3 linked regions of the Nothobranchius furzeri genome follow. The protein of the gene in region 1 interacts with the protein of each later gene in a biochemical or structural test. Links are inferred from orthologs where the notes say so. Each region holds a gene or a part of one and is shown in the gene's direction. Other genes may lie near its edges.

What was found.
Region 2: the proteins of lrrk1 (region 1) and cdc42ep3 form a complex in vitro, tested with the Homo sapiens proteins (2 studies listed by BioGRID and IntAct, with this or other methods). The link is inferred for Nothobranchius furzeri from reciprocal best matches to the Homo sapiens genes LRRK1 and CDC42EP3.
Region 3: the proteins of lrrk1 (region 1) and bag2 form a complex in vitro, tested with the Homo sapiens proteins (2 studies listed by BioGRID and IntAct, with this or other methods). The link is inferred for Nothobranchius furzeri from reciprocal best matches to the Homo sapiens genes LRRK1 and BAG2.

What each region holds. Positions count from the first base shown.
Region 1 is NC_091749.1:7,384,542-7,388,197, forward strand, and holds part of lrrk1 (leucine-rich repeat serine/threonine-protein kinase 1), read left to right. Parts: intron 1-1,994; coding exon 1,995-2,192; intron 2,193-2,825; coding exon 2,826-3,040; intron 3,041-3,656.
Region 2 is NC_091752.1:7,954,084-7,957,023, forward strand, and holds the end of cdc42ep3 (cdc42 effector protein 3), read left to right. Parts: intron 1-844; 5' UTR 845-1,035; coding exon 1,036-2,103; 3' UTR 2,104-2,440; downstream 2,441-2,940.
Region 3 is NC_091752.1:19,643,892-19,647,647, reverse strand, and holds the start of bag2 (BAG family molecular chaperone regulator 2), read left to right. Parts: upstream 1-988; 5' UTR 989-1,242; coding exon 1,243-1,367; intron 1,368-1,551; coding exon 1,552-1,661; intron 1,662-3,256; coding exon 3,257-3,651; 3' UTR 3,652-3,756. UniProt on the Homo sapiens protein: Co-chaperone for HSP70 and HSC70 chaperone proteins. Acts as a nucleotide-exchange factor (NEF) promoting the release of ADP from the HSP70 and HSC70 proteins thereby triggering client/substrate protein release.

The sequences.
Region 1 (3,656 bases):
CCGGTTCCCCTCACAGATCACAACATCCCCTATAGGTTATAAATTGTACGTTGCTAAGGATAAAAGTGTCTGCCAAATAAATAAACATAGCAATGAAACAGGGTCATTGACTTTGCCCTGCAGGATGTGATGGTTGGTGTGGGAGTGATGTGGGGGTGAGTTTTTTAATAATAATAATAATAACAATAATAATAATAGTAATACATTGAACTTATGCAGGTACTTCTCAAAAAATTAGCATATTGTGATAAAGTTCATTATTGTCTGCAATGCACTGATAAACATTAGACTTTCATATAGTTTAGATTCATTACACACAACTGAAGTAGTTCAAGCCTTTTATTGTTTCTAATATTGATGATTTTGGCATACAGCTCATGAAAACCCAAAATTCCTCTAAAAATAGCATATTTCATCCGACCAATAAAAGAAAAGTGTTTTTAATACAAAAAAGTCAACCTTCAAATAATTATGTTCAGTTATGCACTCAATACTTGGTCGGGAGTCCTTTTGCAGAAATGACTGCTTCAGTGCGGCGTGGCATGGAGGCAATCAGCCTGTGGTACTGCTGAGGTGTTATGGAGGCCCAGGATGCTTCGATAGCAGCCTTAAGCTCATCCAGAGTGTTGGGTCTTGCGTCTCTCAACTTTCTCTTCACAATATCCCACAGAGTCTCTACGGGGTTCAGGTCAGGAGAGTTGGCAGGCCAATTGAGCCCAGTAATACCATGGTCAGTAAACCATTTACCAGTGGTTTTGGCACTGTGAGCAGGTGCCAGGTCATGCTGAAAAATGAAATCTTCATCTCCATAAAGCTTTTCAGCAGATGGAAGCATGAAGTGCTCCAAAATCTCCTGATAGCTGCTGCATTGACCCTGCCCTTGATAAAACACAGTGGACCAACACCAGCAGCTGACATGGCACCCCAGACCATCACTGACTGTGGGTACTTGACACTGGACTTCAGGCATGTTGGCATTTCCCTCTGCCCAGTCTTCCTCCAGACTCTGGCACCTTGATTTCAGAAAGACATGCAAAATTTGCTTTCATCCGAAAAAAGTACTTTGGACCACTGAGCAACAGTCCAGTGTTGCTTCTCTGTAGCCCAGGTCAGGTGCTTCTGCTGCTGTTTCTGGTTCAAAAGTGGCTAGACCTGGGGAATGCGGCACCTGTAGCCCATTTCCTGCACACGCCTGTACACGGTGGCTCTGGATGTTTCTACTCCAGACTCCATCCACTGCTTCCGCAGGTCCCCCAAGGACTGGAATCGGTCCTTGTCCACAATCTTCCTCAGGATCCGGTCACCTCTTCTCGTTGTGCAGCGCTTTCTGCCACACTTTTTCCTTCCCACAGACTTCCCACTGAGGTGCCTTGATACAGCACTCTGGGAACAGCCTATTCATTCAGAAATTTCTTTCTGTGTCTTACCCTCTTCCTTGAGGGTGTCAATGATGGCCTTCTGGACAGCAGTCAGGTCGGCAGTCTTACCCATGATTGTGGTTTTGAGTAATGAACCAGGCTGGGAGTTTTTAAAAGCCTCTGGAATCTTTTGCAGGTGTTTAGAGTTAATTAGTTGATTCAGATGATTAGGTTAATAGCTCGTTTAGAGAACCTTTTCATGATATGCTAATTTTTTATATAGGAATTTTGGGTTTTCATGAGCTTTATGCCAAAATCATCAATATTAGAAACAATAAAAGGCTTGAACTAATTCAGTTGTGTGTAATGAACCTAATATATATGAAAGTCTCATGTTTATCAGTACATTACAGAAAATAATGAACTTTATCACAATATGCACATTTTTTGAGAAGGACCTGTATAACGTAACTGAATTGGAGGCCAAAAAGTGGTATAGATATAAAACACCCTACCAAGGCCAGACTGAGCTGACCCAAGTGTAAATGGGCTCATGTGATCAGAACTGACAAAAGAACCATATGATTAAATACAAAGACTAATGTGAAAGTGACCGGATGTGTTTCTCCCTCCAAGGGCCTGGCCAAGGTGTTTGCTGGGATGTCTGATGGCCTGGTGGCGGTGTTCAACCTGGTGGATGACCTTCCTCTGGAGGGGGAGACCTACTTGTGTTCACACTCCTTGAATAAAACAGTATTTGGTCTGAAGGACTCGGATCTGAGACAACGACCATTTCCAGTCAGAAGCATGGCTCTGGTCAGCAGTGGCTCGCAGGTGAGCAGAGCCATGATTTCGGCCAGTGAGCAGGCCTCTAGTCAGCGCCAAAGGGTTTTTTAATTCATTCAAAAGGAATCAAAATAAAATCAAAGCAAAAAATATATAAAAAAGGGAAGAGAAAGATCTCATATTACTTGCCCTTTGTTAACAAATTAAATAGCAGCATTACAAAATGAGTCAAGCTTGGCGGCTTCGGCTGTCGGGGGGGGGGTCACACGCTCTGTCCCGCAGCACTCCTCTGTGAGAGTGAGGGGGTTGCACACGTCCACTGCTGTTTCTCACCAGTGTCAGCTGATGGAGGGCTCTAGTTTCATTGCGCCGTTCGTGTCATCGGACACGGTAGGGTTGGGGAGGGGGGCGGGACATGACGCTTAGCCTGGCGGGTGGCCAAGCAAAGCCTGGTGGGCTGCCAGGCTTATAAAGCGCTGGGGGAAACCCTGAATACTGACTTACCTTGAAACTCTAGTTTTCTTGTTAAGGTCGTTACTTTAATGTACACCATATGCACTAATACACAGTTCCTTGGTTTTGGTTCTAAATGTAGTTTTCGTTACTTTCATATTCTACCTGCTTACTTGAATGTCAAACATCTGAACGTTGCTGTGTTGCTTGGGTCTGTGTCTTTACTAGTTATGGTTCTCCAACGGTCCCGGATTGCTGGTTGTTGACTCTCTGAGTCTTCAGGCCATTCGAAGGCTGGAACCATACAAACCTCCATCCTCTATCGTCAGTATAGCAACCAGCTTCTGTTTGTGGGGAGAAGAAGCAGTCTGGACCTTGGATGACCACACCAACACCCTGCTGCTGTTCCACGCTGCATCTTACCAGCTCTGTGCTACATACTAGTGAGTAGACCACGACTCAAGGACCATCCATACTTTTGTGTGCTGATTATTAAAAATACTAGCAGATAAAGTGAAAAATAAAAGCCACATCTTTGCTTCTTGGGATTTCCTGAATCATATGGTGGCTGATCTTCTTTATGTGCTGGAATCTTCTTCTTCCGGCACTCGAAGAGTGCAGTCCCTTCTCGTCTCTCCTCCCTTATCTTTTCCCAAGGCTCTTGTCCTGTCTGTCTACAGAGCGCTTCTCTGCATTTCTCCTGAAAGTTAAAATTTTATTGAATTACGGATTAGGTCAAATGGTCATTCAACGCGACTGACAAGTTTTTCAGCAATGAGAACAGAGCTGGGGGCTCCAGCTTGTCCAGATAGAACACACCCAGTGGGGTACATTTTGGAGTTCTGGAAGGTGTGGAATATTACATGCCTTTCCCAGCTGTCCGTGGACATTGAAGACGCACGGTTTTTTGGATTTATGTTAACTGGATTTCTTCTGATTGGAGGGGGAGGATTTCTGGTATTTTGGAAAATTAGGAAGTCGGAGTGCCACCAAACCCACAGATAGTCTCAGCTGTGTAGAGACTGCTCAGGCTGGCATTGCTGCTCGAGGTGAATCACA
Region 2 (2,940 bases), on another chromosome or scaffold:
TGCAGCTTATTTTCGGTGCAGATGCAAGACCCTAACCCCCGTCTGGCTCCACGCAGAATAAGCTGCCTCCTTAAAGGGACTGTGATGAGGCTGATTCAGAGGCTTGGTATCGGTCGGGTGCAGCAGGAATGTGGATGTTTTGGAGGTTTTCTTATTTGGGCAGGGAGGAGGAGGAGGAGGAGGCTGGGGGTGTAGGGTGCAGACACTGAGGCACTCTATCAGAGGGTTAATGTTGTCAGTCCTCGCAGAAATAAATATGTCTATAAAAGGACAGGCTCCCCTCCTGCTGGTGCCCCCCCCCCACCCCACCCCCCCCCACACACACACACACACTAAACCACCACCACCTCACCCAGAGCGTTTTCTCTTATTCTTCAACAGTCGACCTGAGTTTTTAAGGCGACGCTCTTGGCTTGTCGTCGGGCCTCGGTTCTTCAAAGCTCCGTCTGCACCACCTTCTCTCCTAAGATCCACTCACACTATAATTCCTGACTTTATCTCTCTCTGAACCTCTGTAACCCCCTCCCCGGTGTAGCTCCTTCTGTCTGGGCATGCCTGAGCAGTAGCTCGCTCTAAAGACAGGCTGCCCTCCTCTGATCCGTCCAAAGTCCCCTTCTCCTCCAATCTGCCGTCCAGCTGTTCCACATTAGCACTTCCAGAGATGTGAGGAGGCCAAGAAAGTCTCTGGTGTGCGAATGTGAGCGTGAAAATGGTTTTTATTCCTTGAGGGATTCAGTGGGTTTTGTTTAAAGAAGACAAAACAGGTGTTTTAAATCTGTTCTCTATAAAATTGGACATTTTTCTTAAAAATGTTGATATTTTACCGTTTTGTCTCTGATTTCAGAAAAGAGCCCCTTTGCTGAACATCTCCATCTCTGGACTGATGCAGGGATTATTTTCAGAGTCCTGTATAAGCATCCTGGTTCTGAGAATGTAACTCCATCTCCTCCCTTGGGGAACCGCAGCATTCAGACCCTGCAGAAGCATTTCTGAGCTTCCTGTCCTGCACATTTGAGAATCCTGCACAGGAACAGCATGCCAGCAAAAGCACCCATTTACCTGAAACCCACCAACAGTAAAAAGGGGAAAAAGTGTCGGCTGAGAGACATTCTGTCCCCTGACATGATCAGCCCGCCGCTGGGAGACTTTCGCCACACCATCCACATCGGCAGAGGCGGAGAGAGAGATGCCTTTGGAGACATGTCCTTCCTTCAGGGGAAGTACGAGCTTCTACCAGGAAAGGGAAATGCCAACCCACAGTTTGGCGTCCAATCGGAGATTCTGCGAGCAAACAGCACAGGTGACGCTTCCTTTGCTGAGACGCCCTCTCCCGTACTTAAAAATGCCATCTCACTCCCGACTATCGGTGGCTGCCAGGCTCTCACCCTTCCTCTGATCTCCTCCGCCATTTTCCCAATGCCCCCCATGGAGGACATCATGGGACCTTCTTCTCTTTTGAAAGCTGAAGTAGTTGAGGAGGTTGAAATCCTGCAGGTTGATGCTCTGCTGCACTCCTTGGACGTCTTCGACAGCGAGCCTTCGTCTCCATTTACAGACATCCACTCGAAGCCTGACGTCCTCTTAGATCTGCTGGAAAACGCGCACAAGTCCAAGGCTGTCGCCAAGGCCAACAAGTTAAACCAGAGTGAAAGAAGATTCGATCAGCCTTCGTCATATTTCATCAACGGCCACACCAGCAGCTTCTGTAAGGCCAACGGAAGCGTGAACAGCAACACGAGCAGCGACAGCTACGACAGCTTCACCGGTAAAGGGGACTTCCAGAGTGAGCGCAGTAACGGCAGCCGGAGTTTCAACGGAGACGGCACCCACAACGGTTACGGATGCTTCAACGATGACATGTCCCCGAGCTTCAAAACAGAGCTCTCCAAGTGCAATAAAGACTGGGTGGACAGGGACAGCGGGGTGGAAGAGGGACGCATGAGTGACTTTGAGTTTGAGTTTTCCAAGGAAAAGAGTGCATCTCAGGATTCCCTCGCCCACATCACGGGGTCATTCCTCTCCCTGGAGCTGGATCTTGGCCCATCCATCCTGGATGATGTGCTCAACATAATGGACAAAACCGCAGCGAAGAGCAGGCCTTAAGCTGCGCCGGGGCCTCCCGGACCAGAGAGGGAATCAGTACAATAATAGCCAGGAGGGGGGAGAGACTCACAAGTAATCAAAATGGTGTCTGGATATATCATTGAGATGAATATCAGCTGATACAGACAAGGCTGCTTATGTTTTTATTCTTAAAACTTCTAACTGTTCTAGCTTCTGTGGAGTCTTCTTTTGGTTTGTCATGCCTGCAGCATGTTCAGGATGCATGAGCTTTAGTGTTACAGATCAATCACAGCCATCGTGCCTTTCATTTTTAATTAGCTACATGATAGATTGGTGCTCTTGTGTTGACCTCCACTGAATAAACAACTTCACAGACTCCAGCCTTCACGACGTTGCATTTTTTGACTTTCAGAGTGGGCCTGACACATGATTCATTGGGCAACAGCAGAACACCATGCATAAATGTTTTCTTCGAAGCTATAAAAAAAAAACAAAATTTCTTTCATTTCTTTGCATTTTTTATGGACATAAGTCAGGATTAGGAGGTGTTTTTAAGTTTTCTAGTAACAAAAATCCACCGAGAGTACTATTCTGGACTCGGACCCAAGTCACGTTTAAAGGCCAAGTTCACTGAGAAACTAACGGTTTTTACTTGTTATTTTTGCGATACGAGTTTGCCCTGCAGACTAAACGTGAAAATAGTCTCCTACACCTATCTCCTGCATTAGCCGCTGATAGATTATAGACGGTGAAACTCTAGGATTAGAGAACGTTCATGGACTCGCCCATCTCGACTCACAACGGGGAAGGATGTTGTCGGTTTATCGCCCAGGAAACAGCAGAGAACGTCTCAGCTAGAATTGGAATGTTTATTAT
Region 3 (3,756 bases), on another chromosome or scaffold:
GAACTATTTACATAAAAGGATTAGGGCCACTGAAGAAGAAGTTCTTTTTCTCTTTTCTGAGGGAAAAATAATCAGAATTCTGAGGTTAAGGTTAGACGTCTCATAAATATTTACACCATTTTGTTCCTATTAGATTTTGAGTTTAGGAAGAAAACTTTTGCCAAAAGTGTATGAATGTATTTTTTGTACCAGATATTTATATTTAGGGAAATTATTTTTAAAAAATAGATGTAAAAATCTCATGGGTACTTTAAAGCAGCAACCTGGAGTTTCCCCCCTTCCAAGAATTATTTATGATTTTCTTTTAATCCATAAAAGCCTGTACTGTGATAACCAAGGCAATACATCTTTTTGAAATTTTCTTGGCGATTTTTGGGGGAGGTTGAAATCACGGCTCCCCCAAAAGGGTAATCAGCTCCCCCGGAAGCCATCAAACGACATACACATGGGGAGCTCGAAAAGAAGATTGGACGGAGAGGTGATCAGAGGGAAGACGAGCCCAGACTGATGCAGAGTTGGTAACATTTCTTATGGACAAGTAAGTCTTTAAAATATACATGATAAACAGCACAACATGACTGTTCATAAAAAGGCCATAATCATGGAAACTGAGAGGCCTAGGGGTGTAATGCAGTTTTCACCTCTAGATGACAGGTGTCACTGCGTTGTGGGAATTCAGTTCAATTAATCCATAACAAAAGGCTGCTTAAATCTCACTTTTTCTATTATATCTATGATTATTATAAAGTAAAAGCCATTCTGGAAGGTCCACTGTGGCTCCAGAGTTGCGGGTTGCAGACCACCACAGGCTTTCATCTGTAGTCTGGAGTGAAAATGAATTATATATATATATATAGGCCTGGATAAGTTTATCAGAATAACTTGATTACTTTACCAATCTGCCTAATAAAAATTATGCCCAAATAAATCAAGACACATTACTTAAAACTGCAAAGTGAGTTGGAACATTATAGGTCTTTTATTTCCGTGGACCTGGAGGAGCTTGCTCACGGACCTCTGCTGGTCCACGCTCCTTACGATTGGGAGCTCCAGCTCTGGTCTCCTCGGGAACTTTCTGCCGGAGTGAAGGAAGTCCATGTTAGGAAATGTTCCCCCCATGGGGCGCTGCTGCTGCCTGCCTCAGTCCGAGGATTTACACCCAGCTGGACGGCTCGGAGGGACACACACTGGATTTTGCGCTCACCGAGGGAAAGCACTGTAGCCATCATCTTCGTCTTCATTATGGCTCAAGCGAAAATACAAGCGAAAATGAACGAAGCTGCCCTCTGCAGCAAGTTCAGCAGGACGCTTTCTATGGCAGACCGCTCGGGGCGACTCCTGGAAAGTTTGGATCAGCTGGAAACGAGGTAACAGGCCCTTGTTGTACCATGTGTGCTACGGAGCCGCTATTTGCCCCGGCCGCTAACATTTATTGGCATAAACCTTTTATAAACACTGTAAACAGGGCAATGTGACAATAAATGTTTTTCATAACAAACATAACTGGTTTGCAGCGTGTTATTTCATATGCTGTCTCTCTTTCTGTGTCAGAGTGGAGGCTTTACGAGAAGCAGCATCTGCCATGGAGCAGGAAAGGGAGTGCATCCTGGAAATGATTCAGTCCATACAGAACAGTCAAGAAATGAGGAACATCTGTGCTGGTGAAGCTGCTAACTCTCTCTTAACTTACATAAGCGCAAAAGTCACGCACGGCTTAATGCCAGGGAAGATACGCGGTTATAAAGGGGAACTAGTACGGTTAATGTATTTCTACCAGAATCCCATCTCCTCTGATCTCACCCAGACCCAGTTTGTGTGAACCAGGCTCATGTTTCACCTCTGGATCGTGTGAGTCAATAGCCTACATCTGGTTTATTGATTTGGTTCCGCTGTAAACAGACAAAAAGGCCTAACCCTTAAAGCTCATTATTTAAATCCAGAGTCTGACCAGGGTAGACCGTCTAGTCATGTTGGTTTATGCTCCATTAAACCTCATTAATGTAAGTTAGTATGATTCACACGAGCTCCATGGTTCACCTAGAAACTCCTCTCAACTGGTCAGGGATTTGAAAGAAGGGCTTTATGTAAAGGTGCATTATGTAAGACTGACATCCTGTGGTCAAATTTGGTTACTGCAGACCACATTTGTAAGCAAAAGTCACTGCCGTGAGTGTCAATCAAAATCAAATCAAAGATACTTTATTAATCCCAGAGGGAAATTAGAGTTTCAGTACACACAATTCAGAGATCAGACATACATGGGCAAGACATATGACAAGAATTGGTGACTGTGGTCATTCGCAACCCTGAGTCGTGCTAATTGAGATCAGAGGGTTACATGAGGATTGGTTCAGGTGGAGGGAAAAAAAGGCACTTCAGAGTTACCCTCCACTGGGAAGGCAGCTTTGCTATGCAAAAAAAAAAAAAACACCCACCTCCGACAGAGATGCAACAGACTTCAGGCATTACACAATATAAGTGTCCACTAGGTGGGGAGGTGGGTTGGGATTATCCCTACTTCAGTTCCTGCAGCCACGATAGATTCTCATGGCGCAAAAGGGCCTGTTACAGATCAGCACCAGAAGATTCTAGATGACAAGAAAAGATGAGTTATAACCTAATCTTTGAATAAAATTTGCAAACATAACCGAACATTCTGTCCGTTAAACACTAGGCAGTCCGGCTCCGACTTTGCTTCCTGTTCAACTACTCTAAGCCAAGAATGCGCAATACATCCACAAATACGGGTATGCGCATACAGCGGAGGGACTGTCAGAGGGGAGTTTGATGGATGGATCATGATTCAGTCATTAAGAACGGGATTGCATGTTTCAGAGGAAATGAAAATTATTAGTTTTTCGACAAAGCATTTACTTTATTGGTTGCTGTACGATGTGATGACCATAACAAGCAATATGGCAAAAAATGCTCCAGAGAAACATCGTCCATCCCAATAAAAAATATGTTTGGAAATGTTATTGCATTCATTTCTTCCAATTAATATCAGTGGTATTTTGGTGTCAGCTTGTTATTATTGACAAGTTGGCAGAATCATGGAGAACATCATGAATATTGCTTAACAGGTTTCAGTGGGGGCAGTATTATGGTGTGGGGTGGGATCTCAGACAAATCAGAGCTTGTACTCATTGAAATAAACTTTTAGAAATATGAAATGACTATTGATGTGCTGTTACAGCCGCATTAAAAGCAGTTTCTTTCCTATAAAGATTTAGTAATATGTTTACATGTCTTCTAGGTGAGAGGGAAGAGTTATCTTTGACTGCGAACCGTCTGATGGGCCGAACGTTGTCTGTGGAGATCTCTGTTGGCACAATCAGAAACCCCCAACAGGAGGATGCACTACTCAAGGCCACGTCTATGATAGACGAGATTGTGAAAAAGCTGCTGAGCGACATGGAAGGTGGCCGTCAGCAGCTGCTGGCCCTGCACGCTGCCTGCGTCACGGAGGCACCGCTCGTCCCTATTGACCAGAAGTTTCAGACCGTGGTGATCAGCTGCGCTCTGGAGGACCAGAAGAAGATAAAGCGAAGGCTGGAGACTCTGCTGAGGAACGTTGAAAATGCCGAAAAGAACATCAAGATAATGGATCACCAAAAACTGGAGGGCACAAAAGCTAACGGGGGTCACTGAGACCCTTTGCCGAGGTGTCTTGAATTCCACTAACCTCACAGAAAGCTATAGTTAGCTTTTACACATTTAATTAATTTCAGATGGACTCTGCTTGAAGCAGCAAGG